Linked DNA regions of Callithrix jacchus. The protein of the gene in region 2 purifies or fractionates together with the protein of the main gene of each other region. This does not show direct contact. Links are inferred from orthologs where the notes say so. Each region holds a gene or a part of one and is shown on either strand. Other genes may lie near its edges.

Evidence for each region. Proteins that work in one complex are often made in the same cells at the same time.
Region 1: the proteins of RAB11B (region 2) and PI4KB purify together in Homo sapiens (co-immunoprecipitation; 3 studies listed by BioGRID and IntAct, with this or other methods). This does not show direct contact. The link is inferred for Callithrix jacchus from reciprocal best matches to the Homo sapiens genes RAB11B and PI4KB.

What each region holds. Positions count from the first base shown.
Region 1 is NC_133519.1:11,196,867-11,200,366, forward strand, and holds part of PI4KB (phosphatidylinositol 4-kinase beta), read right to left. Parts: intron 3,436-3,500; coding exon 3,326-3,435; intron 2,739-3,325; coding exon 2,634-2,738; intron 1,967-2,633; coding exon 1,843-1,966; intron 28-1,842; coding exon 1-27. UniProt on the Homo sapiens protein: Phosphorylates phosphatidylinositol (PI) in the first committed step in the production of the second messenger inositol-1,4,5,-trisphosphate (PIP). May regulate Golgi disintegration/reorganization during mitosis, possibly via its phosphorylation.
Region 2 is NC_133523.1:7,923,744-7,927,969, reverse strand, and holds the end of RAB11B (ras-related protein Rab-11B), read right to left. Parts: intron 2,843-4,226; coding exon 2,649-2,842; intron 2,446-2,648; coding exon 2,365-2,445; intron 1,486-2,364; coding exon 1,340-1,485; 3' UTR 501-1,339; downstream 1-500. UniProt on the Homo sapiens protein: The small GTPases Rab are key regulators of intracellular membrane trafficking, from the formation of transport vesicles to their fusion with membranes.

The DNA of each region.
Region 1 (3,500 bases), on a different chromosome or scaffold from region 2:
GGGCACTCGCTCCTGTTCCCAAATGGACTGTGAGGAGACATGGGGGATACAGGACTCTTATCTTTCTCCAGACTAGAGAAGGAGGCTAAAACGTCCCCTTTTCTCCAACCTCTCTCCTTGGTGGCATTGGATTCTAAGCCATCAAGTGAGTAAGGCTCTCTTAATCCAGCGAGGACCAGCGAGTTTCGAAAGGAGTCTAGGGACTGACAAAGTCAGGAAGCTACACTCAGTGGGAAAAGGTATCACGTGATACCTCCAAAAGAGGCAGGGAGAACCGGACACTGCACTATCCCTTCTCAAGCAGGGACAATGGGAGCCATAAGTTCAAACAAGAAGAAAGAGGCCACGTGCGGTGGCTTATGCTTATAATCCCAGCACTTTGGGAGGCTGAGGCAGGTGGGTCACCTGAGGTCAGTTCAAGACCAGCCTGGCCAACATGGCGAAACCTTGTTTCTACTAAAAATACAAAAATTTGCCGGGTATAGTGGTGCATGCCTGTAAGTCCAGCTACTCAGGAGGCTAAGGCAGGAGAATTTCTTGAACCCAGAAGGTGGAGGTTGCAGTGAGTCAAGATTGCACCACTGCGCTCTAGCCTGAGTGACAGAGCAAGACGCTCTCAAAAAATAAAAAAAAAGAAAGAAAAAGAAAAAGGAAAGGAAAGGATTTAGGTCCAGAGAAGATGTCTCTGGAAAACGAAAATATTTACACGCTATAACGAACAGTATTAAACAGATTAAGTGGCTTGCAGGTGACCAACCCAGAGGGATCAGATCAATACCTCAGCACACTATAACCCACCTGCTACAGACCACTTGGGAAGGTTTTTATGTTTTGTTTTTTTTTTTAAAGGGAGGAGGACCAAATTATTATTTTAAAATTTGATTACAACCAACTGTGTTGGCATTAAAATTAGAGGCATTAAGTTTGAATAATGGCTATCTTATACCAAAAACCAGATATTTGAGTTTGCAAAAATGGGAAAAGAAGTTTTCTAGTCATTTCAGATTAGAAATCAATTTAGAGAAATGAGCCCCATGTTTACAATGATTGTGCCACAGATTTAAACTTCAGTAGTGCATTAGTAAACTGTTCACATTTTGATCTTCCCCTTGAGATGTGACAGCTATTTCTTGAAAATAATCTCAGTACCTTGTACAAATAAATTGGTCTTAACACTAGGAGAAAGTGGGTCACTAAACTTTGTCCCAGCAAAATTTTCTTTTTGGCTTGCTTCGGTTTAGAAATGCTGATTTCTTCAAACGTGTATTTTTCTTAGAGACAGGGTCTGTTGCCCAAGCTGGAGTGCAGTGGCTATTCACGGTCTGGATGCTGCTACTGATCAGCATGGGAGTTCTGAACTGCTCTGTTTCTGACCTGTGCCAGTTTGCCCCTCCCTTAGGCAACCTGGTGGTCCTCTGTTCCCAGGAGGTCACCATACTGATGCTGAACTTAGTGCAGACACCCAACTGGCATAGCACACTACAGCCCAGAATTCCTGGGCTCAAGCCACCCTCCCGCCTCAGTCTCCTGACTAGCTGAAACTACAGGCCTGAGCCAGGGTGCCAGGACATTTTGGAAGTTTTCATCTAAAAGGCAAACCTAGCACTCTAAAGTTCAGACTTGGAACAGGGTAGGTGCAGGTCTCAAAAGGGCCAAAAGAGGCCGCTGTGGAGCTGTTCCTATGGCCAAGCTTCCTAGGGAAAAGGAGCACTAGCTTTTCTTTACCCTGCCTTTGTTTTAGACCTGGGCAGGAAGTGGTCCCCAGAAGAATAATCTGTGTAGTCACCTCAGGTGGGCTGGTGTTGGGCTGAGTTCCCCTTCTCTCTCCTTCTCTTCTCTTACCTGCAGTTGCTTCAACACCTGAAAGGCCAGCAGCTCTTGCCGAAGGTCATCCCCACACTTGACAATGACCGACAGGAGCCGCCAATTGGGGAGATGCCCGTAGGGGGAGCCCTCTCTGATCCGCCTGTGAAGACAGAAGTAAACGGTGCCAAAGGTCGATGCCAGAGTGAGGACAAGAAACGTGGCTTCCACCTAAAATCCAAAGCAAATGCCCCGTAGGGCAAGGACCCACACAGCCTGGGAGTCTGACAGCCTTTTTTGGAGGCTGACAGACAGTAAAGTTGGTGCAGTGAGCACCTGCAACTGCCTCTGAGCTCTGAGAGGGGTTCAGAGACCCCACCACCCAACTCACCGCACTTTCTCCTGCCAGGGCTCTCTGAGAGGGGTTCAGAGACCCCACCACCCAACTCACCGCACTTTCTCCTGCCAGGGCTCTCTGAGAGGGGTTCAGAGACCCACCACCCAACTCACCGCACTTTCTCCTGCCAGGGCTCTCTCTCTGAGAGGGGTTCAGAGACCCCACCACCCAACTCACCGCACTTTCTCCTGCCAGGGCTCTCTGAGAGGGAGGGGTTCAGAGACCCCACCACCCAACTCACCGCACTTTCTCCTGCCAGGGCTCTCTCTCTGAGAGGGGTTCAGAGACCCCACCAGCCAACTCACCGCACTTTCTCCTGCCAGGGCTCTCTCTCTGAGAGGGGTTCAGAGACCCCACCACCCAACTCACCGCACTTTCTCCTGCCAGGGCTCTCTCTCTGAGAGGGGTTCAGAGACCCCACCACCCAACTCACCGCACTTTCTCCTGCCAGGGCTCTTTGAGAGCAACTGCAGAAGGATCTTCTGGGTCTCGTTTGAAGGCTGTTGGGGTGTGAGCCAGCTGTTCCGAAAGGCGCCGGCTGGCAAGAAGAAAATACATCATTTGCTTGAGGACGTGTCCCCAACCTCATGCCCATCTATACTGACATTTCCTGCACTGTGTCCTGGATTCTGGGCACACGAAGACAGCAACCCAGGCTGAAAGGGACTCACAGAAGGAAAGATAACCAGTGACACCTTTTTGCTAACTTAGTGACTGTAATCATGTTAAAATTAAGATTACCAGGCCCTCCATATTCCACTACCAACACTGATTCAGAACAGGGCGTGACTCTAGAATCTGCATTTTCAACAAGGCCTCCTTCCTCTCCCCGGATTCTGACACACGTCGCTTTGAGACGCACTGCTTGAGTTCCTTCCTCTGGTGCTTTCATCCCTTTGGAATCCTTTTAAAATTTAATTTCCTTCTTTGGTAGCCCAAGTAATTTTTCAACCTATACACACCTTCATTGCCTCAAGTTTGGTGGCCCCAAATAAGGACAGAATGATAGAAGAGGGAAAGACACAGGCCAACAATAGATGACTGAGACGGATAAGAAGGTAACAAAGAGACGGGAAGTGCCTGAAAGAGGGAGGAAAAACGAGGGGCAGTGTGATCTGGCCATACCGGATGTCCCCTGCTGCAATGAACACAGGCTCCTTGCTCTCCTGGCTGGTGATGCTGTCCACAGAGAACTGGGAGATGTTGTCACAGCTGTTGGTGTGCACCTCAGGGAGCTGGGAGGGCAGGGGAGTGCTGGTCAGAGTGCTAAGTACAGGTCTCCTTTCTTGCCCTTCCTGCT
Region 2 (4,226 bases):
GAGGAATCCCATGCCACACATTTTGCTGTCCCCAGCATTCCCCCTCCAGGCTCTCCTCTGGTGTCACTCTAGGGTAGAGACAGGGGACATCACTAACATCTGCAGGGCAAGCCCCCCTCATCAGGACCCCAGGGGAGGGGCAGCCCTGGCAGGAGATAAAGGGATAAATCCTGGCCATTGCCCTTGACTCCCGTCCCCACCAGGGGGTGCCCGCAGTCCTGCGGTCCTAGGACTGGGGAGTTTAAGGTCAAGGACAAGCTGTAGCCTTCCCTCCCTCCCTGGCATAGGGGCAGCCTGGAGAGGGCCCACCCCAATTGCACTGGGCCAGCTTAGGGGGCCTCCAAGCTGCCCTTGGCAGGTGCTGGGTCCTCCCGTTCCCTATTGGGGTGGGCCGTGGAGATGGGGGGTCTGGCCTGCATTGGGGAACATGCAGCAAGAGGGGCCTTGGCCCAGGAGCGGGCACTTGATGGAAAGAAAGAAGACAGAGGCGCAGCGGCAAGTTTCTGTACAGGAAGTCAGATTATACATTTTAGTAATGGGTGAGGGGACAGGGATGGGGGGCAACAGTGCAGGGGCCACAGGGAGAAGAAGAGGTCGAGAGCTGGGGTTTGGCATAAATCTTACAAAGTGTATAAAGAATCTGTGTTTCTCTACAATAACAAAAACCAAAGGCTACAAGAGCGGTTGTATATACAAAACATGGAGATATTGCTTCACTTGCAAACAGGTTCCAGACCAGAAGGGAAACGAGACAGAGGAGGGGGAGCGGGAGGGCCGAGAGGGCACGCTGCGTGCAGGAGATGGGTGGGGGAGAGGGTGACGGGCTTCTCCCTGCATCAATCAACAGGCAGAGGTGGGAGGCCTGTGCGAGCTGCTATGCGCGGAGGAGCGGGTGGGTGCCGAGAGCCTGGGGAGTTCCACCTGCCCTGGACCCCACTGCCTGGTTCTTCAGGCTTTGGCCTGGAGCAGGGTTCTGGGTGGGGATGATGGGCTGGGTCACCCAGCCACAGAGAGAGGGAGGCAATCACTCCCTGGAGTCTGCCGAGGAAAAGGAGAGAAGCCGGCACCATGAGCCCGTCCTTCTCACCTCTGGCCAGCCCTGTCCATCCTGCCACCCTCCCCACCCGGCCAAGACGCCCGAGGGGACCCGAGTTGGGTGGGTGCAGCAAAAAGGGGCTTCTAGCTTTTTCCCAGGCAGGACGGGGGTAGCACTGGCTCCTGTCCGTCCTGGGCCCCGGCCATGCAGAGCTCACTGGGAGGGCTGGAGCGAGCCGGCCACAGAGAGACAGCAGGGAGGGGCCGGAGGACACCATGGCAGGGGCGGACGGAGGCGCAGGGGTCACAGGTTCTGGCAGCACTGCAGCTTGTTGGGCTTCTGTCCATCTGTCGTGGGCGGCACGCTGATGTCCACCACGTTGTTCCCAGGGGACTCGTCATGGGCAGCACGGTCTGCGATCTGTTTCTGTGACACGATGCGGTAGATCTCTGCCAAGGGGGCACAGGGGGACGTCGGGTGAGCCAGCGTGTGCCCTGCCTGCTGAGGGGGCCCCTCCCTGCAGGACTCCAAAGCTCCTCTCCAGGCCCCCACAGCACCCCCATCACATCGGGGTAACAAGGTCAGGGCTGCGCACCCAGCCAGGGCAGGACCCACATCTGGTCAGAGCCAGCCCTGGCCTCTCGCTCCCTAAGGCCAGAAGCACCCTTCTCCCTCAGAGGTAAACTCCCAGAAGCCAAAGGGCTACAGGTCCCTGAGGCCACCCGCCTCCCCCAAGCGCCAAGAGTCAAGGTAGGGCCCCTCTCCAGGAACTGGGACTGGGCGGGGTGGGTTGTCTCTGTGTCCCCAGTGCCAGCAAGGGCTAAAGCTTGTCTGACCCTGTGAAGTGCCCATGTGGGTCGGCAGGTTTAACAAACAAAGGTTAGGGGCGGTGGTGGAAAAAAGATGAAACAAATAGGCCAGGTGCAGTGGCTCACACCTGCAATCCCAGCACTTTTGGAGGCCGAGGCAGGCAGATCACTTGAGCCCAGGAGTTTGAGACCAGCCTGGCCAACATGGTGAAACTGTCTCTACTGAAAACACAAAAATTAGCTGGGTGCGGTGGCACGTGCCTGTAATCCCAGCTACTCAGGAGGCTAAAGCAGGAGAATCACTTGAACCTGGGAGATGGAGGTTGCAGTGAGCTGAGATTGAGCTACCACATTCCAGCCTGGGCAAAAGAGCAAGACTCCGTCCCCTCATGACAAAAAAAGAAAGAAAGAAAGAAAGAAAGCAAAAATCAAACAAACAAAACAGTGAAGGTTCAGAGTGCTCCTGTTCCACCCTGCCTGGCTGGCGCCCTACCCACACCCATCCAGTCCCGGGGCTACCTGTGAGGATATTCTTGAAGGCTTCCTCTACGTTGGTGGAATCCAAGGCCGAGGTTTCGATGAAGGACAAGTTGTTCTTTTCTGGAACAGAGAATAATGCCCAGGTGAGCTGGGAGGCGGGGTGATGCTCCCACACACTCTCAGGGACCCCGCTCACCCACCTGGCCCAGGACACAAGCCACTCCTCAGGGAAGGGACACCAGAGCTGTGGCCAGGTCCCCCACACTGAGGGGGTGTCTTGCCTTCCACACACCTCTCTGATGCCTGTGTCTCCATCTGCTCACCTGCGAAGGCCCGGGCCTCGTCGGTGGGCACAGCCCGCAGGTGGCGCAAGTCACTCTTGTTCCCCACCAGCATAATGACGATGTTGCTATCTGCATGGTCCCGAAGCTCCTTCAGCCAGCGCTCCACGTTCTCGTAAGTCAGGTGCTTGGCGATGTCATATACCAGCAGGGCGCCCACAGCACCGCGGTAGTACCTGCAGGGTCAGGGGCCCATGAGCCGCTCTGAAGGGGGACTGTGGGCAGTGGCAGCCTCCTGGGATAACAGCACATGTCACGCCCAGGGCTAACCATTGTGGCCTCAAGAGAAGGGTGTGTGTCTAGAGGCCCCAGCTCTGCTCCCTGGATCCAGCTCTGAAATGTGGGGGCCTGAGGAGGGAATGTGGGGAGTGGGGGTAGAAGATACCATGAGGTCATCAAAAAAAGGGAAGAGGCCGGGCGCTGTGGCTCAAGCCTGTAATCCCAGCACTTTGGGAGGCCGAGGCGGGTGGATCACGAGGTCAAGAGATCGAGACCATCCTGGTCAACATGGTGAAACCCCGTCTCTACTAAACATCAAAAGATTAGCTGGGCATGGTGGTGCGTGCCTGTAATCCCAGCTACTCAGGAGGCTGAGGCAGGAGAATTGCCTGAACCCAGGAGGCGGAGGTTGCGGTGAGCCAAGATCACGCCATTGCACTCCAGCCTGGGGGACAGAGCAAGACCAGTCTTTCAAAAAAAAAAAAAAAAAAAAAAAAGCTGGGGTGAAGGAAACTGCAGCTGTGCAAAGAAAAGGCCACTGCCTACCATGCAGGGCCAGACTCAGCCCACTGAGGAGACAGACACCTAATCTCAGCACTTTGGGAGGCTGAGGTGGGAGAATCGCTTGAACTCAGGAGGAATTCAAGGCTGAAGTGAGCTATGATCGCACCACTGCACTCCAACCTGGGCAACAGCAAGACCCTGTCTTTCAAAAAAATAAGGCTGCGCATGGTGGCTCATGCCTGTAATCCCAGCACTTTGGAAGGCTGAAGCGGGGGGATCACAAGGTCAGAAGTTCGAGACCATCCTGGCCAATATGGTCACTACTAAAAATACAAAAATTAGCCAGGTGTGGTGGCAGGTGCATGTAATCCCAGCTACTTAGGAGGCTGAGGCAGGAGAATCGCTTGATCCAGGGAGGCGGAGGTTGCAGTGAGCTGTGATCATGCCACTGCACTCCAGCCCGGGTGACAGAGCAAGTCTCCATCTCAAAATAAAATAAATAAATAAATAAACAAACAAATATATTAAAATAATATAAGCCAGGCATGGTGGTGCATGCCTGTAGCCCCAGCTACTCAGGAGGCTGAGGCAGGAGGATCGCTTGAGCCTGGGAGATTGAGGGTACAGTGATCTGCGATTGTGGCACTGCACTCCAGCCTGGGCGACAGAGCAAGACTCTGTCTGTCTCGAAAAAAGAGATGACAGATAGACAGATGCACCTGAGGAATGAAGAAGATGGGAGCCGAGGACCTCGAGGCGACAGAGAGACCATGGTGGTGGGAGCATGGGGGCTTGGGAGGGGTACTGAAAAAGGCAGCTGAGTGGGTCCTGATGTCT